Notamacropus eugenii: one gene and its partners. The protein of the gene in region 3 interacts with the protein of the main gene of each other region in a pairwise test. Links are inferred from orthologs where the notes say so. Each region holds a gene or a part of one and is shown on either strand. Other genes may lie near its edges.

What was found.
Region 1: the proteins of FIP1L1 (region 3) and PRMT2 interact in a two-hybrid assay, tested with the Homo sapiens proteins (2 studies listed by BioGRID and IntAct). The link is inferred for Notamacropus eugenii from reciprocal best matches to the Homo sapiens genes FIP1L1 and PRMT2.
Region 2: the proteins of FIP1L1 (region 3) and CPSF4 interact in binary tests that used the Homo sapiens proteins (3 or more experiments, as listed by UniProt). The two-hybrid records come from large-scale screens. The link is inferred for Notamacropus eugenii from reciprocal best matches to the Homo sapiens genes FIP1L1 and CPSF4.

Annotation. Positions count from the first base shown.
Region 1 is NC_092873.1:68,196,528-68,204,673, forward strand, and holds the start of PRMT2 (protein arginine N-methyltransferase 2), read left to right. Parts: upstream 1-4,838; 5' UTR 4,839-4,949; intron 4,950-5,351; 5' UTR 5,352-5,364; coding exon 5,365-5,433; intron 5,434-7,227; coding exon 7,228-7,323; intron 7,324-8,146. UniProt on the Homo sapiens protein: Arginine methyltransferase that methylates the guanidino nitrogens of arginyl residues in proteins such as STAT3, FBL, histone H4. Acts as a coactivator (with NCOA2) of the androgen receptor (AR)-mediated transactivation.
Region 2 is NC_092874.1:379,805,630-379,813,110, forward strand, and holds the start of CPSF4 (cleavage and polyadenylation specificity factor subunit 4), read right to left. Parts: upstream 3,121-7,481; 5' UTR 2,931-3,120; coding exon 2,828-2,930; intron 2,649-2,827; exon of another isoform or gene 2,543-2,648; intron 2,505-2,542; exon of another isoform or gene 2,339-2,504; intron 1-2,338. Other genes in the region: PTCD1 (pentatricopeptide repeat-containing protein 1, mitochondrial), read left to right, coding at 4,400-4,909. UniProt on the Homo sapiens protein: Component of the cleavage and polyadenylation specificity factor (CPSF) complex that play a key role in pre-mRNA 3'-end formation, recognizing the AAUAAA signal sequence and interacting with poly(A) polymerase and other factors to bring about cleavage and poly(A) addition.
Region 3 is NC_092877.1:104,814,239-104,821,568, reverse strand, and holds the start of FIP1L1 (pre-mRNA 3'-end-processing factor FIP1), read right to left. Parts: upstream 3,138-7,330; 5' UTR 2,845-3,137; coding exon 2,760-2,844; intron 1,647-2,759; coding exon 1,607-1,646; intron 1-1,606.

The DNA of each region.
Region 1 (8,146 bases), on a different chromosome or scaffold from region 3:
AGGAGGCATTCTGGGAAATCCTTACAATAACTAAAATGAAATTTCTACAGGTATTACCTAATGATTATTTTGGTGTCTAACTAATGACAGAAAGGAATATCCTCTTAAATTTCACACAGAAAAAGTCATAGGAAAGTTTTCAAAACCAAACTGACTAAATATGGCTTCCAGACTCAACATTTTTGCTCAGGAACACAGAGCTACAGACTGCTTGAGAACAAGAGGAATTTGCTTATCACCTAGGGAGGCCCTTGGAACAAAATTTCAAAAGCAAAAACTCAATTGATGCTGACAAGACTCCTTCATTTCACTGGAAAACAGAATAAGTGGCACATAGAACAGATGCCAAGGGCAGCAGAAATCCGACCCTCAGAGGGTCAGTGGTCTGAGATCTACCAAGCACATCTCACCCAAAGCACAGGGCACAGAATAGCCCAAGGTCTCCTGCTCCTCTTCTCACTGGTTGATTTTCTACCTGAGCAGGCATGTATCAGGTACTGCCCTTTGTACATGGGAACAATTTGGTGGCTCAATAGACTATGGGAGGAAAACCATTTGTGGAAGGAAAACTGATTTTCTTAAGATAGATTGAAAAAAAATTAGTCTTTCAAATAAAACACTTGAGAGATTCAGACTATTCTGAGTGAGCCAGCCAGCCAACTGCCTGCTCCTGACAGGAATGAAAGTAGTCTTAGCCAACTTGTTGGAAGACAGAGCAGGAAGTGAAATGGTGGTTCCCGCAGAGCACCATGTGCCACCTTCTATTTGATGAGGCTGCCTTTTGAATTTTAAAGGCTGTAATGACAAACACTAAATTAAACACTTCTTTGGGGACTAGGAGAAGACTGCATGGGGACTGCTAGGTCCATACAGTACAGGAAAGTGGTCTTGAATTTGACTCCTTTAGGTAAAGCCTGAGTCACTGACGACTACAAGTCTGGTGTGAGCCAGAAGGACACAAGATGCTGGAGAAGGAGCTATAAAAGAAACGAGAGGGCAGGAGAATCACAAGAAGCCAGGGACAGAAGCTACAGAACATTTATGGCAGAGACAGCCCACTTTCAGCTGCTTTTCTGGAACTTGCTTATTGGGAAAGAGACTTGGCTTTGCTGACTAGCTGGAGAAAGGCCGGGAGGCTGAAAGCCAGGAGCCAAATCCTGCTGCCTAAGGGAGCTGTCTGGGCTTGTTGCTCTCTGCTGCCATCTACTGCTGAGAGAGGGCAAAGGTGCCAGGCTTGTGTTGTCCTCTATTGGCTGTGTCTGTTCTGAGGGTGTGTGGGGTTTCTCCTTCGTTCCGAGAGAGGACCATGATTTCAGGGTGATAATGATATGATTCACAGTTGACTTTGATTTGAGGGAGGGAGGGCTGTGCAAGGTCACCAGCCTCACTATCTCCTCCAGAGGCATCTGGGTCCAGTAACCTGATATTTATCCATCAGGATGAGGGGAGATGGCCCAGGATGCAGTGGGAGACCCTGACCCTTTTAGGCTAAGGCCTTTTCAGGTTCTCATTTTGAGTGAGGCCACACCCATTCAATGAACAGGCCTTTTTAAGAAGTGAGTCAAGGGATCATCCCTTTAAGAAGAAGGGATGGGGAACTGGGAGGGGAAGACTGTCCGGGTTGCTGGACAAAAGAAAAACAGTTACTACTGACATTCCCTCTGAGCCAGGAGGGCCCAAAAAGAACCATTAAGTGGTGCTTGGGCAGGGACCTATTGTTGAGGAACAGAAGGATGGTGAGGTTTTGCATTTGTAAGCTATGATTTAATGTGAGAAGGCTGCCATTCGCAGGTCTGCTGAAGTTGGCAGCTGTTTGCCTTAAGGGAACTGCCTGTCACTGAAAGAACACAATACTGTCCCTCCTCAGCATCCTACTAAGGTTGCTCAGAGCAAAACAGGGTTGGCAGAGATACTGGAAGGGTCTGTCATATCCTTCTCCTACTCATTTTACAGATGAAGAAACTGAGGCAAACAGAGTTAAGGGACTTGCCCAGGGTCACCAGATTAGAACTCCGGCAGATGAGTCTGCCTGACTCCAGGTCCAGCTCTCTACGCACTATGGTGCCACCTGGTATTAAATGAGAATTGTCCTTAAGGTTCAATTGCATCTATTACCTAGTTCTAAACAATGTTTATCTGACCTTTGAAAAGAAAGGATCTTTTTGGTGACTCAGGGTCAACAATCAGCTCATTTGAAAATCCACCAGACAGAGAAACAGTAAGCAAGGTGGAGGACATGTATAAATCTGAAAACAGCCTTAATATTGCAATGAGAAGAAACAGAAGGTTTGTTTCTGCAGAACATTTGGGATGTTTCAGGATAGTTTATAATGCTCATGCCCAGTGACCATGGAATCCACACAGCCTCACTTTTGTGCTGAAAGCAAGCAGCTATTTGTACCATCTTGGCCACATGACTGGAAGGGAACAGAGGAAGCTACTCTGGGGCACTGTGCAGAATGCACATGTATCCTCTCACTGAGGAGCAGTTTGCCTTTGAATATGGAATCCTTGTGGCAGTTTGGAAAAAATTTGATGATACTTGAAAAATTGCAAGAACATTGTGCTTCAGCAGAAAGTGCTAGAATGTCCAATTCATGATGTGCCTGATTATGGCTGTGTTAAATCACTTCAGAAACAAACCTATGGGCAGGTAGTAGAGGAAAGACCTACTTGTAACCTAAGTGGGCAGCTCATTGCTTAAAGCACTATGAAAGACTCCCTAATGCAAACTCCTTGGATTATCACCACAAATGAAGACAAAGCCAATGATTCCGAGAACCACTGAACAGGAATCCTGACTAGAACCCTACCTCTGTCAATTTGTGAAGAGTATTTAAAAGCTGGAGAAGCAAAGAAAGAACTTGCACTCAGATCATGCCTTAAGGATGTGTATGGAGCCACTAGGTGGAACTACAGCAGATCAAGCACCAGGCCTGAAGTCAGGAAGGCTTCTCCTCTGAGTTCAAATCCAGCCTCAGACACTTACTAGCCTAATGACCTTAGGCAAGTCACTTCACCTGGTTTGTCTCAGTTTCTTCATCTGTAAAATGAGCTGGAGAAGGAAATGGAAAGTGGCTCTAGCATCTCTGCCAAGAAAACCCCAAATGGGATCATGAAGAGTCAGACTTAGTAAATCATTTAATACAGAACTTGTCATTAACCAATAGAAAAGTATCATGACTGGCCATTCATTTTTTATCATGTTATCATTATCATTACTTAAGCAGTTAGAAATTTTAAAAAATGCATTTACAATGTTCAAAGAGCTTGTGTAATTCTTCTAGAATTTTCTACCACATATTTGTGTGAACAAGCATTTTTTCACTTTATATCAAAATAGAGAAAAAAACTTGATGCAGTACCAGATTTAAGACTATTTGTCTGGTATTAAGCAAAATGTCGCAAACATCTACTCCAATAAAAAAATGCAACATCAAAATAGTTTATACGTGATTATGATATTATGCTAACATCTTCCCACTTATAAATTATTTCATTTAAATGTTTTATTTGACAAAATTTGCCAAACAAAATAATTTAATATGAAGTCTTACAGATAATAGTGAGCATATGAGATCTTAGATTATTTCTTTTCATTCTTACAGAATGTCCCACAAAAAAATCCATAACTATTTTAGTTAAGTTTTATAATTTTGTATTGTTTTCATAACTGTAGGTAGAATAAACTTTTTTGTGATTACCGTTACATAATGCAAATTTTAGTTTGTGTTTTGGGGGGCAAAAGCAATCAATATCGCTATTCTAAGCTCTTGATGAAGAAATGTAAATGTGCATTATGTGGTGTGGTATATTAAATTACCTTGCGGGTTCACCTCCTAGCTACGGAAGGAGTCTGGTTTCTTCCCGGCTCGTATAACCACATGAATGCAGTGTTCGCACACGCGCACACGCAGATCTAGGCTGGAAGGTACTTTACATGTTACCAAGACTGCTACAGTAGCGCTCGTGTAACCGCATGAATGCAGTGTTCGCACACGCACACACGCAGATCTAGGCTGGAAGGTACTTTACATGTTACCAAGATTGCTACAGTAGCGCTCGTATAACCGCATGAATGCAGTGTTCGCACACCCACACACGCAGATCTAGGTAGGAAGGTACTTTACACGTTACCAAGATTGCTACAGTAGCGCTCGTGTAACCGCATGAATGCAGTGTTCGCACACGCAGATCTAGGCTGGAAGATACTTTACATGTTACCGAGATTGCTACAGTAGCGCTCCGATTTTACAGGGGACTTACTGAGGGTACAGGGGGCGGGCCTCTGGGTGCCCGAGCGCCAGGCACTGAGCTGCCTTGGGGGTCTGTCTCTGGGTGTGTATATAAATGTGTGTACATACAGAGGCCCGATCCGCAGCTTTGGGGTCCCTCTTCGATCCTTGGCCCGCAGGCTGTCCCCACCCAGGGTCTCCTTTTACACCTGAGGAAACTGAGGCACGGAGCCTGGCAGCCCTGCCAAGGTCTACCTTGGGCGGGGAGGTAGAAGGGGGCTTTGGACTGCCTCGGTTTCCCTGCCTGTCATGCTAAGGGCACCCCTCCCCCCGGGCCGCTGCCTGCAGCAAGTAGCCCGGCACGCCCATCCCGAGTTAGAGAGGAAACAGACGCAGCCTCCACCTCCCCGGAAAGAGGCAAGAGGAAGAGCCGCCCCTCACACGCACGCACAGATCTCCCAGGAGGAGGAGCTACTCCCAGCCACCCCAGAGACCCGGAAGCGATGGAAGGATATGCGCACGCGCCCTAAGACTTTGAGTCATGTGGGTAACTCCTAGGCGCTGGGGGAATAGGGAGGGTGGGGTGAGGGAGTGGGTGGAGTCTCTCCGAGGCCCCGCCCCTGACCCGGTCGCGCTTGCGCAATTGCCCCTGACGCTCAGGCCGGCACCCGCCGAGGCCGGTCAGGCAGTTGCTTCCTTTTCAAAAACTCCTCGGTAAGATGGGGAGGGGACTGCGCGGGGCCACGCCTGAGCTACCTCAGTTTCCCCACCTGTGATGGGAGTGGGTCTGGAGAGAGGGCAGAAGAAGCTGGGGCGAGGCCGCTGGAGCTGCCTCAGTTTTCTCATTTGTCAAATGTGCAAGGGCGGGCCCCGTCCCTCCCCCGATGCCCCGCCCCAGGCCCTGATTCAGGTGACCCTGGGTACCTGGCAGCTGTGCCAGAAGGATGCCCCAGCAGTGACTGGTGGGCGCAGCAGCAGATGTGCCCTCCTCGGGGAGGAGCTCGTGCAGATGGGCTTTTTCCTCGCTCTGCGTTGTGGGAGGGGGGGATTCATTGGGGGTCGGGCTTGGGACAGAAGGATAGTTAACCATCGGTGCGTTCTCTCTTGTGACAATAGAAACCAAGGGAAGATGAAGCCAGAGGAGCAAGAGCCCGACCCCATGGCCCCTCCCCATGGCACTGCCCACGGGGAGGTGCAGGTAATGTGGGAGCTTGGGTGTCTGGGGCAGGGTGAGCAGGGAGGCCACCCTGGTGAGCTCTGAGACTTAGCCCACAGTGGTCGCATTGATGACTCTCCACATAGGCTGGAAAGGCAAGATGGCCCTTGGCCCCATGGCGCTGCCCCTGGGGAGGCGCAGGTAATGTGGGAGCTTGACCCTCCACATAGGCTGGAAAGGCCCCAAGCTGGTGCCCATGGGGCACCAGCTCTGTCAGGGCCTGCTATGCTGGAAAGGCTTTGCAGGCAGACTCCGTGAGGAAGTGGGCATTGGCCATAGAGGGGCTGGGGGAGGCCACACTGAAGACTGCCAGTGTCTTAGAAGTCTGTAGGCAGAGGCAGGCACAGAGTCAGACAGACCTACACAGTGGGAGCTCTTTGTGTTTACATATCACTTGTGGAAGATGTGCATGAGTACCCTCCTTGAAGCTTAAAGGTTACAGGAAAGCCCAGATTTACCCCCAGGCCCCCAAAATGATCAGTTGAGGAGGGGGAATTTTTGTTTGTTTTGCTTTACCAAAAATGCTTTCCAAGTTGTTTCCTCCTGGGAGAAAGCTTCCTTGCCTCCTGGGATAAGGGATTCCATTTGCAAAAACTAAACATAGTAGGACCCCATCTGATTCAGAGCTAACAATTCTGTGGTGCTTTGAAATTTACAAAGAGTCTTACGTACAAGGACTCAGTGACACACCATTATTATCCCCATTTCACAGATGAGGAAACTGAGAATGGTTAAGCATTTTCCTAAGGCCACGTGACCAGTGTCAGGAGGAAGGATTTGAGTTTCCTGACTCCCAGTCCAGCATTTGGCTGCAACACTGTGCTGGCATTTAGATGGCATCATGGCCTGCATTTCTGGGGCGGCTCATTTGGGACGAGAATAAGGATGTAGTCAGATCAACTTCAGCCAAGAAACAAGTCCAGGACAGTGCATCTTGAGAGGCCTCTCCCCCAATCTCATGGCTAGCTGGGCAGGCAGGCTGTTGGTATTTGGAAGACTGAGGCAGTAGGCAAGGCAAGGCTGCCTCCCAGAGGCCCTTGAACTGGGCTGGACAGGAAGGAGGTAGGAGAGAAGGCAAGGTCGCAGAGGGGGAGGAAACCTGAGAGCTGGGACGCATCTGTGCCCACCCACATTGGTGACCACGTCACATTGTGAGGGATGGTAGGAGTGGGAGCCTCCTTCAGAAGTCAGTCCCTGGGTAAGAAGATGGATTAAAGTTGATCAAGTCCCTGAAGATAGGCCCTCTGGCAGCCTCTTAGCTCAGAGTGGATCAGACCGTTTGGTCAGCTTACAGGGTTACAGCAAGTGGACTGTCCACATCCATTGCATCCTACCGAAGTTATGCTGGAGCAGACAACCCATTCACCAGTGGAGGTGAAACAGAGGCCTTGGGCTTCCTTGAGGCCAATGGAAGCCTGTTCTCAGCAAACCTAGTGCCTTAGTCCAGCCTGCTGTCATCTGAGGCCCCTGCAGGAGCCCCCCTCAGCCTGAAGGCTTTGCAGGGGAAGCAATCAGTCTGCCCCACAAGACAAATGAAGAGGCATGTCTGGAAATGGTGCCACCTGCTGCCAGTACTTGTTCATGAGCTGTGCTGAGGCAGGATGGGTCCCTGAGTGCCTGGCGCCTGTCACTTAAACACCACCTGGATGCTCGTGGCAAGATGGGGCAACAGTGACCATCGGTTGACTGTGGCCTTTATTGAGATACACAAGGGGATGAACTATTTGCCCAGGCATTCTATCCCAGCCCCCATCTTATTTCCTTGATTTTGTGCAGAAAGTGAGAGAAACCAAAGAACAGAATGACGCAGAGAACTCAGAGCCCGAAGAGCTTGTGGCTATCGCAGATTACGCAGCAACGAATGAAACACAGGTAAGAATGGGCAAGGCCAGGTGTGACATCAGCCCAGTGTTCTGTGTGTTCCTGAGGAGGTGGTGGGGATGCCCTGTGACAGGTCTGTGAGGGCTGGGGGGGACATCTGGTAGGACTGTGGGGGGTGCAGGAGAGAGGAGGGACCTGGAGCAGAGACAGGGAGGAGTTACCCTCAATTTCTTTTGAGCTTGAGCCAGAATGACTGTTTAGGGGCCCAGTCTGTAGATTCTAGGCTGTGAGCAGAAGCTAATCGTGATTTGATATAGAACAACACACAGACACACACATGTGTGTCCTGTTTGTCTGTCCCTGGTTCCCCCTCTGGAGGAGTCCTCTCTTTATTGGGTTAAGCTGGTCAGACATTGGCACTTCTTTCCAATACTGACCTGACCGACAAGCAGAACAGAATGCAAGCAGAACACAGTGGGGGGGGTTGGGGCAGAAGGGCCCCACAGGCCTCAGGAGGGAGGCCCAACTCTCTTAGAGGAATCAAGGCCTGGGACAGAGGACACACTCAGAGTCTTGAGGGGCCAGACTTGTTCCATTCTCCTCACCAGCTCTTGACCCTGACCAGCCACCTGGGCATTGCAGATGGGCAGCCCTGGTTGGGGATTGTCCAGCTGCCAGTGTTTCCCAGGTCAGTAGGAGCTGTCAGTCAAAGCCAATATGCGTGGCTCATGGGACTGCCTGCCCTGCATTTTACACAGTTCTAGGCCTGCAACCTGGGGGCAACAGCTGCAGTGGTGGGGTCTAGTCCCCTCTGACATCATTCCAGCCCCAAAGATGTCAACCTTAATACTCTAATTTAAGGTGGCCACAGACA
Region 2 (7,481 bases), on a different chromosome or scaffold from region 3:
CCTACTGTCTCCTGAGCCTCAAACACTCTGCTCTCACCTCTGCCTCTTAGAATCCCTCATTCCCTTCAAATCTCAGCTTATGCCACCTTCTACACAATGCCTTTCTTGATCCCGTCAGAACTTAGTGCTTTCAAAAGAAAAAAAAAACTTTTGATTTACTTTGCATGTACTTTGTATAAATGTACATGCTGGGAGGTGGGGGAATGGCACGTTTACTTCTGTCTCTCTATCCCCAGATAATAGGACGTAGCAGGTACTGGATAAATGTGTGTAGACACTTCATTTTACTCCCTTCTGCACACTCTCTATTCTACTCAGCTTGGCCTGCTACAGCTGGTCCCTGTGTGGGACATTCCATGGCCTATGCCTCTAACTTTCTATAGGAGGTTGCCCATGTGAAAAATGCACACAGCCTTCTCACTTCTCTGCCTAACTAAAGCCCTCATTTCCTTCGAAGACGGCCCAGGTGCAGTCCCTTTCATTAGTGAAGTGCTCTGAATATCAAGAAGTTTTTCTTTATACTGAGCTCAAATCTATCTCTCTGCAACCTGTGTTCACTGTCTCCCTAACAACCTCAACTGCTCCTCTTTCAAAACTTCAAAGGCCTTTTGAAATGAACTTCAATTCCAAAGACATTCTGAAGCTTTTCAAAGGAAGGACTTAGATGTTCAGACAGTTTGCTTTGAGGTCTTTTTTAACTATCAACAAAAAAGGGATCCAGAAATTTAACATTCAAAAGTTAAAGATTAAAGCTGCCACCTTCCATAAAGACTGAAGGTTATATCTGAGATTATGACTAGTATTCTAAGCCTCACAAAGTTTCTCACCCACCACCCTAGACCTAGGTGCACGGCATCTGAAGAATTCACAGGGTTCACAGAAAAGATAAAGTGCTCTGCCCTTGGGAATTGAGAAATCATCTAGGTGTATGGAGTGTGATGTATCTTAGCCAAGTGTTAAGTGATGCTCCTGAACAAGCAATACACACTTAGGAAGCCTTTTATGGTTCAGAGGGTCCTTTACTGTACACAGTGTGTGAGGATGGGGGGACGTATGACCTGGTCCCTATCCTAAAGAATTTCATAGTCTAGATAGGAAGAGATTTGTTCCAGACAGCTATAAAGACAGCAACAACATCAGGCAGCTGGTAAGCAGCACAAATCACGAGTCCTGTTAAGATTCTGGAGCAGGAATCACTCTATCTGGGTTAAGGATGGCTATACGAACTATTCTTGCGGTGAGAAAGAGTAAAGAAGCTTCTTTTGTTCATCTGTTTTGTTTGGGGAAGAAGAGTTAGACAGTACAGATCTTCCTGCTTGAGCAGGAGATGCACTACTTAGTACTTCCCACTGTTCCTCAATTCTCTGCTTTGCTGTATACAGCAACAGGAAAAGCTCCCCAGCCCAGAACTCTTCCATCAATTGGGCAGTCCAACCCAAAAGCTACAACGCCAATTCAAAGTACCATAAACTTGGTGTGTTTCAGAGTTGGAAGGGGTGTCAAAGGTCACTCCCTCCTTCCTGGCCTGGCTCAATCCACTCCCCTTTTTGCCACCTCTAATTAATTATCGCAAAGCTTTTCATTATAAAGGCTGAATCTGCCACTGCAGCTCCTGCAAACTCACTGTGCCTCATCCTGAATCTTTCTTCCAAATGGAAAGACCTCAAATACTCAGAAGCCAGCTATCTGTGCTCAGAGTCTTTTCTACCCCACAGTAAACACCCCAGTTCCTTCAACTAGAGTTTCTTCCCCGTCCTCACTGGTCATCCTCTTCTGGTCCAATAATTCCAACTTGTTTATCTCCTTCCTAAAATGTGACAGCCATAACTGAACAAAATACCTCCGACATGATCTGACCATAGGGACGATTTTTTTTAACTGAATCATTCAATCACTAACCCTTCATCAAGCCGCTTACTACGTGCTATGCAGTGCCACGCACCGGGGATACAAAGAGACAAAAGGATGCCAGACAGCATGCAAATAAATACAAAGTAACTACGTCCGAGATGAACAGGAAATCATCAACGGGGCAAAGACACTTAGAACTAAGATTGGTTGTGAAGGCTCCTGGTGAAGTGCAGGACTTCCCTTCGCCGCATTCGGGACAGCCTTCATTAAACACAGAAACACCTGCTAACAGACACCTCCACCCCAGGCAGGCCGCTTGGCACGCCGTGCCCTGCCGCTGGCAGTCACGTCCATTTCCTGGCCGTAGGATGGGGATGCCAACACTCACGCTAACGCTTCCCGTGAACACAAACACAGCCTCCCGGCGGCTCGTCCCGCCCCGAGGGCCAATCACAACCTGGGCAAGCCCTCTCTCCGAAGCGCCAACCTTTCAAACCCTGCGCGCACCTCCGCAGGGGAGCTCCGCTCTTTGCTGCCCCGAGGCAAGTCCGCCCAAGGACTCCCGGGCCTCGCGATCGGGACGAGGGGGCGGTGGAGGAGGGGGAAGAAGGGGAAAGGAGAGTGGGGGCTCGAGGGGGAGGGGAAAGGAAGAGGGACAGGAAGTGGGGGGGTAGGCTGAGCCCAGGGCCACCTGCAGGGGCCTGCCTGGGCCGGCCGGCTGGGCTGCGTCTACGCGGAGGACGGGGACGCCCCAGGGGTCATTCCTAGACGCTCTACGAGATCAGGACACTAGGTGTGCGGTCGGAAGACCCGGGTTCAAGTCCCGGCTCGGAGGCACTTCCTGGCTGTGCGACCCTGGGAGAATCCCACCCGTTTTCATCGGAGCCTCGATTGCCCCATCGGTCGAATGGGGACATGGACTCCCCACGAGGAGAAGCCGCCGGAGGGGAGGGCTCGGCCCGGCGGCCTCACTCACTGTCCATGCCGGGGAAGGGCAGCGGCTGCGCCCCAAGCTGCTGCTCCACCGCGATCTCCAGGTCGAACTTGATGTGGTCCACGCTCGCGATGAGCTCCTGCATCGTAGCGGCCGGCGCGGGCCCTCCCGGGACCCGGATCGTCCTCTTCTTCCTCCTCCTCCTCCTCCTCCTCCACTACAGCCCGGGACCCCGGCCCGGACCGGCCCGTGCTCGCTCTCTCTCTCCGCGGACTCCTCCTCGGCCGGAGGCCGGCGCGCCAGCCCGCCCGCCTCCCCGCCGCTCTTCTGGCCTCAGCCCGCCCCGCCCCCCGCGGGATGCCGGGAGCGCGACCTCCGACCCCGGACCATCGGTGGCCAATCGGACGCCGGAGGGGAGGAAGGCGTGGCTCAGGAGCCGGATGCGGACCTATCAGGCGCCGATCGCGGGGGCGGGCAGGCTCGCGGGCTCTTACGTGCGCTGTCGCGCCGGTTCCCTCGCTCTCGTTCTCCCGGGCTTCCTTCCGAGAGCCGGCGGCGGAGAGGACCGCGTCCCGGTGAGGCTTCCTTGGGGGCTGCCGGGGCGCTTGTGCGCCTGCGCACCGCGCGCGCAGGGCAGGCGGACCGGGGACGGCAGGGTGAGTGCAGCCGGGGACGAAGCTTGGGGGACTCTCGCCCTATCACTTGCTTACCGACCCGGAAATATCCTTCCACCCCCTGAGCCCCAGCGCCAGCATCTGTGCAGACCAGTGTCGCATGAGCTGGGATGGAGTGGTGGGCCTTAGCTCTCGCTCCCCGTTGCACGGACAGGGAAACTGAGGCCCGGAAAGAACCCACTTGCCAGGCAGCAGCAGGCAGTGGTGGAAGCCGCCTGGGCCCCTGCCTGCCTCAGACTGAAAGTCCGGCCTTGGCCCCCACCCCCATCTGAATGGCCGAACGGTAGCTTTGGGGTCGGGCCCAAGTGCCCGCGCCGGGACAGCGTTTCCCTGGGTCTGTAGAATGAGAGGGCTGGGATTCCTGAAGACGTCAGGCCCCAGTCTGACCTGAGGGTCTCTCCCCTCCCCCCCACATTGTTCCAAGCCTGTACACATCGTTCTCACCCCTGGGGTGGGGGCCACCAGCAGCGCCCTTCACGTGTTGGAGAACAGCCCGGCTGAGGGGGGTCTTAGAGACTTACTCCCCTCCCACCCCGGGAAAGAATGAGCCTGGGATTGCCCCCCCCCCCAAAAAAAGGAGTTGCAGGTAGTCTGAGGGGTGATACATCTATGTGATGCTTTGTAAGAGGCTTTCCTCACAGCCATCCTCTAGAATAAAGCAAGTTTTATCCCTTTTTGTAGATGAGAAAACTGGGTCTCAGAGAAGTGGCTTGACGACCTTTTACAAAGTGGCATAGTGACTTCCAGGAGTCTAACTTAGATCTGGTGTCTAAATCAACATTCTTTCCTCTGCAGGCTATCCAAAATAATTCATATAAAAACCTTATATGAGTCTGTTTGGCAGTTCCTTACTTTTTTTCCCCTTAATATTTGAATTGACTCCAGGACCCAGACTGGATCAGTGAAACATCCATGGTAGTAGACAGCAGGAAGAGGAGACATGAAAATCATACAGCTGTTCTCCAACCCCTCCCTGGCAGGATCATTTGCCCTAAGACACCTTAATCCATGGGTGGGCCCCAATGGAACTAGATGGGTAGCTCAAGGAAAGAGCCTGGTGTTTCAGAGGGGCTCATGCCAGCTGCTCCGATGCCCAAGATGGAAACCTCAGTGTGGGATGCTGAGACTATTCAGTTCCTCCCTCCCCAAATTCAACTCAAATGACTGGCCCCAGAAAAAAGTAAACAACAACTCTGCAGTGCTTAGTGAATCTTGTTCTCCAGCCCAGCCGGACACAAATGGAAATGAAGAGGAAGAGACTTTTGGGACTCTGTCTGACAAATATTCATCCAGAAAAGTGTTTCGTAAAGCTACGGCAGACTTTCACAACTTAAGGCTTCAAGAATATGAGGATGAGGAAGATAAAGTACTGCAGCAGCCTTGGAAGGGGCGGCGGAACACCCCTCATTGGTATTTCTTTCAGTGCAAGAGGCTGATAAAGGAGGACAAGGTGAGTCCCCTAGCTCTTGGTTAACTCCTATGAAAACCACATCTGACTGACACATCACTTTCAGAACTCTTATAAGAATCTCCTCCTCCACTCAGACTTCTTTACCCACTGAACCCTAAACATACCAGCAAGACCCCATCCTCAGATGGCATCCCCTTTGCCTTCTTCAGTTTAATTGAACAAACATTGTGGTTTATCGGCCGTGTCCCAGGCAGCCCTGGGTAGACCAAAATAAAATAGCCCCTGCCTTCTTAGAGCCTATAGCCCCCATTCGTCCTTCAAGTCTTACCTCTTCATTCATTCATTCATTCATTCATTCATTCATTCATTCAATATACTTAACTGAAAAGCTGTTTTGGATAAGGCCCTGTACTAGACGCTGAAGGGGATACAAGGAGAAACACGACTCAGTCTCTGCCCCCAGGAAGCTTACTATTTGTATGGGGGATGGGATTTGTACACAAATCCAATGTAATATTACCAGTATTTAAGTCCCTACGGTGCCAGGCACAGGGGATAAACATCTCTATGGAGCCTACAGTGTCCCAGGTGCTGTGCTGAGCATTTTGCAGATAATGTCTCATGTGATCTCACAGCAAAGCCGCTGGGAGGTAAGTGCTGTTATTTTCCCCGTTTTACAGTTAAGGAAACTGAGGCAGACAGAGGTTAAGTGACTCGCCCGTGGTCACACACTTAGTACTGAGGCTGGCTTTATTCACATCTTCCTGACTCTACTTCACAGTCTGGCTGCCTCAGCTGTACTTAAGTACTGCCCTCCATCATTCTGGCAGTTCGAAGGAAAGAAACATCATTTCCATCCATAACAAGGTCTATAAACTTGGTTTTTGGAGGTTTTCTTCATATATTTTGATGTGTGCTTCAATATGATGGATTTCCTTCATAATCCTGTGTATTTTATGCATTTAGGAACATTCTTCTGAGGAGGGGTGCATGGGTTTCCCAATGAAGCAACAACTCCCTGACCCAAAGAAGGCTGAGTCCATTGTTCGAGAAGAGGGAAGGTTTCTAGGAGCTGTCATCAGAACTGGGCTCCTGAGAAGCCTTCTCTGATTCCTTCAACCCACACTGATTTCTTCTCCCATTTGAACTGGCCTGCACTTATCATAGTCCTCATTTGGCACTTGACAAATTCTTAGCTCTTTTTTCTAAGTTTATTTATGTCTTCTCTCCCCAGTTAGAGGGAGCTGTCTAGAGGCAGAGACTGAGTATAAGGCTCAAGACATAATGCCATGCACGTAGTTGGCACTCAGTAAATGTGCATTGACCAAAATTTGTTTGAAAGAGGGCTCTGAGGCCTGGAAGGACTTATGCGGTCTAATGCTGAGCGAAAGGAGCACAACCAGGAGAACTTTGTGCACAGCAACGACCACAGTGTGTGAGAGTTTTTTCTGGTAGACTTGGAACTTCATAGCAACGCAGGAACTTAAAAAAAAATTCCTAATGGTCTTCTAAGGCAAAATGCCTTCCACACTCAGAGAAAGAGCTGTGGAATTCATTCGCAGAATATAGCAGATCATTTGTGTGTGTGTGTATTATGTTTTGATTTGTTACATGACTTCTTCCATTTATTTTACTTGATCGACATAGCATGACTATAGTGAAAATGTATTCACTAGGAATGTATGTGTAGATCCTATATAGAATTGTATGCTCTCTTGGGGCAGAAGCGGGGTGGTGGGAGGTAGGTAGGGGGGGAAAAATCTAAGTTTTATGGTAGTGATTGTAGAACATTAAAAATAAAAAATAAAAAAAAAGAAAGAGGGCTCTGGAACATAGCCACCAGGAGCCCAGAGGTTTCTTTTGCCTCACAAGCTCTAGTCTGTCTAACCTAGAATAACCACATAGTCTCAGAAGAGCAGCTGCTGGGCTTCTCCTTAGGCTGAATTCAGCCATGAGAGAAGAAGAGGAGAGTTGAAGGGGTGGTAAGGTATAAAGATGGGCATTTAAAGATTAGGAGAGGGAACCAGTGAAAAGAGACAAAGTGTCCATGTTGTACAGGGTAAGTAGGGAGAGAGGGATGGAAAAGAAAATATAAAGGCAGAAGGATTGGGGACATGTTACAGCCCCAACAGATGGAGCAGCCCAATGTGGAAAAAACAAGAACTGTTTTTTAACGACAAGACCCTCATCAAAAAACTGTCCTTCCCTGCCTTCCTCTCAGGCAAGGACAGCTGAGAACCAGAAAGGTAGGGGGCTCTAAAAAAGGAAGAAATGAGGCTTGGGCAAAGTCTCTACTAAGGGAAATCTCCCTGGTGTTAATCCAGGTGACAAAGTAAGCACACATCATGGGATGTGCATGTAGGACATCGAATTAGAGGGAGGGTGGCCTTCTGGATTGGGCTGGCACAAAGTCATTGTGATATCTGTCTTTTTATCTTATTTGCTGACAGTGGAGGGCGAAGCAGGTGATGGGAACCCCAGAATGGTTATTGGTGTAGCAATGGAGACCTCTTAGGGATTTTTTTTCTCTTCTTTTCTTCTTCTTCTCTTCTTTTCTTCCCTACCCCAGAGAAAATATTTCTGTATTCTAGACCAGAGTTTCTTAATCTGA
Region 3 (7,330 bases):
ATTTTTTTTAAATTATTAAATTAATTTCATAAAACTTATTAAGTTACTGTTGCTGATTGTAATTTTAAGGATTCAGATGACTAAATCAAAACTAAGAATTTCAGTCTTTCAGGTTCATGAATGAACAATGATCACCTTTATCAAATAGTATAATTAGGTTTACAAACTTAGCAGCACTAATCTAATGTTAACAAAGGACTGTACCTCAGGAGTCCTTTCTCAAAATATGATTACTGCAATAATAAGCAAAGATTGAAAACAATTTAGTCTAGATTAATCAGAACTGATATGGGTAGTCTTTAACTTAAGAATGGGTTGCCTTTTATAAGCTTATAAAAAAAGCTGGAATACATTTTCCCATAGAAATTGAAAACTAATAAGATTCCAAATTTTGCTCCCAAAAATCTACTTAACTCAAAATGTAGGCAAACTTTGATATTAAAAAATATTAAGGAGTCCACTTTTATGTAGTGATTTTTGGTTTATAAGTACTTTTTCCAAAAAAATCTCTGTAAAGTTGGAAGAACAAGTATAAATACCTTCATTCTACAGAAAAGGAAACCAAAGCTTCAGGAAGGTTAAATGTCTTGCCCAAGGTAACAGAACTACAAGTGTAGGACACTTTTCAACCAAGGTCTTCCAACTCGGATATCTTGCTCTTTCTACTATAAAGTTTTAACATGGCAGTCTAGGAAGGCGTTTAAGTAGTAAAGGCATTACATGAACCAGTCTCCTAAATCTTCTCAGTGGTCTGTCTCTTCTGTATCCAGAAATTCTCTATAAGCTGAAATTCTTTCACACTGATCTATGGACTTAGTGGAGAAGAGGCAGGGCAGCATATAGATGGCAATTTGTTTATATAGGATGATGGTAAACTGAATTTTTATAGACTGGAGATTTCTTGTATATTAATTCAATAAAAGGTAGCCACACATTCACCCAAGCACATCAAACAAACATATACTCTACTAATAAAGCATTAAGCCATTTAAACAAATTGGGAAGGGGTAATTTTCCTGGCCACTGTATTATTACTATACTAGTTAGAACTTTAGAAAAGCCTAAGGAATGTATAAACTCAGAAAATTCCCCATTTGGCACATAGTTTTACTGAATCACTGTAAGGTAGTAAATAGTAAAAAAGAAAAACAAAAAAAATGTGAAAATAACAAAAATACCATGTCCTAAGTTTTTAGCATCAGAAGCAGCATGGCACAAGGCACATAAGCTGACCGAGCAGTGAAGGTAACTTAAAACATACTGGTTGTGTGACTTCGGAGCTCATTTAATCTCTCATTACTCTAGGAAACTCTAAGACTACAGGTTGCAGAGAAGATAGGAGCTTGTGTTGGCAGAAGGGGTTTCCTCACACAAAAGTTCTCAATATCCACGAAATCATAGGTTCAGTCTCTATCCCCAAGCACCTGACAGAAACTAGAAAATTCTTCTCTCTATTTTAGAAGCAGGTCCTTAAAACCTTAATCAACTACAGATTTCAGCTTAACCTTGATCATCACATATAAAGTCCAAATTCCTAACTATAAACAATGGTAAGACTGGCACCACTACATAATCAGTACCGCTATCAATCGGGAATTTCACTAACCTGGCATTTTCTTCTTCTGGCCTTTCAACTTCATTTTCATCTGTCAAGAAAAAAACATAAATGAATTGTCAACGAATCTTTAAAACTGGAAGCACAAATACTAACCCAATCTTTCAAAATTCACCCTGTATGTCACAGACAGCTGTTTCTTTTTTACAAATATCTAAAAATCTGCGGCTTTTAGATTTTTCAAAAATAGAAAATTTGACCTTATTTTTATATTTTAAGTTAAGTTTCTCAGGCGTTGGAGTCTCAAAATCTCATTTAAAATTTATTTAATGCTATTGATATTGTTCCTGGCACACAGTCTAATTTTGGTCTCATTAAATGGATGCTTGGTACAGCCTGGTATCATCTTATTAACTATGCAATTCCAAGGCCGTGACCGTGTCCGGAAGTCACTCGGACATGTCAAACATCCGTCTGCCTGATCCAGGCCAACAGCATCCAAGACAAGGTTAGACTCTCAGAAAATCAGCAGGCGAAACGTGACTACAGGAAACGTAAACTAAGGGATAAGCTGAGGTGTCTGGAGGACACGTCAGTAGGAGGCGGGAGGCCAAGCCCACGCACCCCACAAACACTTATTGAGTAGCTTGTAACTCCGCGCGTGGGGCTCGTGAGTTCCTCGGGTGATGCGCTCAGGTTGTCTGGCTACATCCAGGGCTAATGGAAAAAGACCAACAACAAGCAAGTCGGGCTCTTCGCGGGCCCTGAGCCACCTGGTCCGTCTGCGACGGACGTGCCAACAAGTCCCCCGGCTTGCCGCCACTTGTTTTATTTCTGGTGGACTTTCTAGCATCACCACGGCCGGGGAGAACACGGCCCGAAGGGGCCCGGAGCCCAGCTCCGGCGGCCGCGGCGCTCAGGGGCTCGCACCCCAGGGGGCGGGCAGGCCGCGGCCGGGTCCGGAGCTAGGAGCCGGGGCCCCGGGGAGGCGCGGGTTGCGGGTGCAGAAGGAGGAGCTCCCGAAGGGTTTACGCGCGCGGCGCTCGGGCCTAGCGTCCCGGCCGGGGCAGGGAGGCCCAAGGCCCGGGGTCCGAGGCGCAAGCACGCCCGCCGCCCCCCGCTACCGCGGGACGCGGAAAGAAGAGGCCTGGAGCAAACCGGCGGAGGGGGGGGAGGGGAAAAGGAGCGACCCCGAGTTGCGTACCGCCATAGAGCCACTCTTCCTCCTCATCCCCACCGGTCCCGCCGCTCAGCTCCGACACCAGCCGCTCCACCTCCCCGGCCGACATGGCCGTCCGGGCTACGACTGGGAACAAATGCCGGGACCACCAGCCGGGCCTTCCCCCCGAGCTTCGCTTCCGATGGGGGAGTGTGAGGGCGCGGGACTGGGAACCGCACAGGAGCGGACCGAGGCGGCGATCACGATGACGAGCCCCCCTCCCCAAGCACAGGTTCGCTCGCGCACGCGCAGCCCGAACTCAGCGGCGCGACGCGAGGCCAGCCCAGCCAGGTACGCGTGCGCCTGCGTGCGCGCTTGCGCGAACGCGAGACAAGCGCCTGCCCCTCCCCCGCACGCTAGGAGAGGGTGGAGCTTCCTCCAGCACGATTTCCTGCCTCTCTGGGCATCCTTCCTCTCCTTCAGAACCCTCTCCCATTTTCACAGTCCTGACAGCTTCAGACTTCTCTGGCTTAGGTGTGCTTCCGCCCTGCATGCGTACTTTCCTCAGGTCCGCGGTTTTCTTTTTTCCTCCGTGTTTTTTTCCGCTCCATCTTCAGAAAAACGTCCTGTGTTAGAAAGGATACGGAATTAGCGCTGCGCCGGGCGCGGTGACCCCTTGGCTTTGGGGCACACAGCGATCCGGTTTGAGTTCAGTGAACGGTGCTAGACTTTTTGAGGAGGAGCCGCCCCCTGGAAAGGTCTTCCTGCTCCTTGTCGAAGGAAGTCAGGCTTTCTTCTGCGTGCCCATGGACAGGGGCACATCGTAGCGTCAAAATTGCTTTAAAATAATTTTGTAAAAGGAAGTTCTCATACTTTTTGTTGTGGAGCCCTTCTGTCTTCCTATACTAGCCCCTTTCCCAATTACCTGCCTGGATTATTTATAGGTATTCAAATCAAGTCAACGAGCCAAGACACTTCCAAAAGACTCAAGATGAAAAGTGTGATACGCCTACAGAGAGAACTGAAGAATTCTGACTGCCCAGTGAAGCGTGTTTTTTCTTTTTTTAATTTATTTTTTCACTTTATTTTTCCTGCTTTTTTTTTAAGGTGGCTAATGTGGAAATATGTTTTGCATGACTTCACAAGTATATATAATTGATATTGCTTGTGGGGGAAGGGCAAGAGGGATAGAATTTAAAACTCAAAATTTTTTTAAAAGGATGTTAAATTTTCAAATATACAGAAAAATAAAAGAAGTGCTTGTTTTAAGATTGTGTTGGCCCCTGGCCTACCTTCCAATTATCTCAAATGCTTCCCTGTTAAGAGAGATGTGTTGTTGTGTTCATCCTTTCTTTTCAAAGAAGACCATGCTGTCAGAGAAATTGACATGACTTGAAATTGACTTTGTTTTGAGTGAGGGAGGGCAGGTCACCAGCCTCACTTCTCCTCCAGAGCCATCTGGATCCAGTGACCAGATAGTCCTCAGGATGAGTGGAGATGGCCTAGGATTCAATGGGAGACCTTGGTCTTTTGCCTTTTCAGGTACTCACCTGGAGGGAGGTAATGCCCATTCAGTGAATAGGCCTCTTTCAGAAAGTAGTCAGGGAATGGCCCCTTTAATGAGCAAAAGAAAACAGAACAGTCAAGTTAGGAGGAAAAAAGAAATTGGTACTGTTGATAATCACTCTAAGCCAGCTATGTAGTGGAGCTTGGGCAGGGACCTATTGAACAGAAAGAAAAAGAGAGAGGAGAGAGAGAGAGGGGAAGGAAGGAAGGTAGGAAGGAAGAAAGACATGTAATCAGTAAACCTCAAGTTAACTGGACAGTCTATGGCCATCCAAATTTACCTTCCTTTGGAGAGAAGAAGGAAGGGGAGAGGGAGAAAGAAGAGGATAAGCTGAGTTACCCAGCTAGGTGGCTCTCCACTCAGGCAGCTCAGTCCACTTGAAGGTTGTGTTCGTCCTTCATTTTCGAAGACCATGACATTAGAGAAATGATGACATGACTTGAACTTGGCTTAGTTTTGAGTGAGGGAGGACTGTGCAAGGTCACTTCTCCTCCTGAGCCATCTGGATCCAGTGCTAGATATCACACACACACACACACACACACACACACACACACACACACACGTATGTTTGGGGGGGTGGGGAAGAGAGAGAGAGAGACTGCTTTTTTGTTATTATTTAAGACTGGCCTTTAAATTGTTTTTAACTTCAGTCCAAAATATTCATCAAGATCCCCAAGAGATCATAAAAATGGGAAAGGGTCCCACATGTACAAAAATATTTATAGTAGCACTCTTTGTAGTTGCCAAAAACTGGAAGTCAAGGGGATGTCCATCAATTGGGGAATGGCTGAATAAATTATGGTATATGAATGTAATGGAGTACTATTGTGCCATAAGAAATGATGAACAAGAAGACTTCAGAGAGGCCTGGAAGGACTTATATGACCTGATGCTGAGTGAAAGGAGCAAAACCAGGAGAACTTTGTGCACAGCAACGACCACAGTGTGTGAGAGTTTTTTCTGGTAGACTTGAAATTTCGTAATAACGCAAGAACTTCTTAAAAAAAAAAAAATCCCAATGGTGGTTCTCAAGGCAAAATGCCTTCCACACTCAGAGAAAGAAATATGGAAGTCATTCGCAAAATGTAGCAGATCATGTTTGTGTATGTGTATGTTTTTGTGTATCATGTTTTGATTTGTTATATGATTTCTTACATTTATTTTAGTCTGACTACATAGCATGACTATAGTGAAAATATACTCAATAGGAAAGTATATGTAGAACCTATACAGAATTATATGCAGTCATGGGGAGGGAGGGGGGTAGTGGGGGGGTAGGTGTGGGGGGGATAAAATCTCAATTGTATGGCAGTGATTGTTAAACATTAAAAAATAAAAAAAAATTAAAAAAATATTCATCAAGGAGTTAAGTAGAATGTAACATCATAGGAGATATATAAGAATCTTGAATAGCAAAAAGTGTTCTGCCTCAGTGATCATGTTGAGAAGTGTCAAAAATTGCCATGAGATTGAGTATTAAAAGGAGGAATATGTTTCCTCTTGGAGATGTCTAGTCCTTCTCCTCTAACCCCCAATACCTGCATCCCTACCTGTAACAAAACATGAATGACTGTAAGAGTTATTGTCCAAAATATATACTAGTAAGTTTGTCATCCACAAAATTCAGAATATAGTTAAAAACCAAAACAAACACTCTGTGATATAAGTAGGCATGGCAATTTTTCAGAAGAAGTCATGCTCTATGAACAAATTTCATTTTGAGGACCCTTCTGAATGTTTACATTTAGAGCTCCTTATTTTCTCTACATTAGAATGCTCTCATAACTTCCACTTCTTCTTTGAATGGCGACTTTCTTCATTTCCGCTCACAGGACACTGGGATGTGTATGTAAATCTGGTTCTATCAAGAGTCCAATTCCAATATTTCCTACAATTCCCAATATTTTCTCAATGTAACTATGAAAATTAATCCTGTGCAGGCAATGAATTGACTAACATAGAGAAGAATAAATGTAAGCTTTTCCTAGTTCTGTTTGTTCCAATACTCCTTCATAAGCACCATGAAAATCTGTTTAAAATTCTACTTGAGTACATGTAGGCTTTCCTTTCCTTATCTTTAGAATTTGCATTTTAATAATTCATTTTATCCATTTCCAACCTAGTTCTCTTAAAATGTTTTATCAAGTCCCCAGAATAGCTCTCAGTTAAATGACAGACTGATTAAGTCAGTTTTGTAAACAAGAAAATTGAGAATCAGAAAGGTTAAATTTATTTACCAAGATTCAGACAACCATTTAGAGGTGGAAGTCATAGACAATCTAGATTTTCCCTAGTCTTTATATTTGAGTTTATCCCAGTCTTGGCCCTTAAGCCATAAGCTCTTGAAAAGGCAAGGAACTGTGTCTTCTATTTAATTTGTAGCTTCCTACAATGCCTCAGAAAACGCAGTGAAGTATTTTATTCAATCACAAAAAACAATAATTATTGAGGACCTACTACATGCAAGGAAGTTTGTAGATTTAGTGACAGTGGTCAAGGTCTCAAACAAGAATCCCTGACCCTTTCCGGAAACTTAATTGGTGTATAGGATTTGACTGATATGTTCAGTTGGGTTATCCAGATTTACATATGTAAGTTTTAATGTTGATTTCTAAGTGGAAAATATTTCACTCAATCTCCTAATGGGGTGATGGCAAACTGCTAACGTTCATAAAGCACCTATAAGATAATCAGAGTGCTATAGATAAGTAAAGCAGAGAGTCTGCCCTCTAGGTAACTAGGGCCTTGTAGGAGGGTTGTTTGTTAGGAAAGATAGAGGAAACAAATAATTGTAACATAATAAAGATATACGATTTTTCATGTTATATACAAACTATGCGTGAAGGCAAAGAACTGTGCCTGTGTTCACATGCTTTTGTGTCTTTATGTATATATGCAATTAAATATTGTGTTTTGTTGAACTTTTAAGTATTATTCCTTGGGACAATGTGAGTTTTCTGCCAGGATAGCAAATCCCTTTATGAGTAGAATTTTGTTTTATTTATTATTTTACATCTTCTTGTTTAGTCCTACCATGGCACATCAT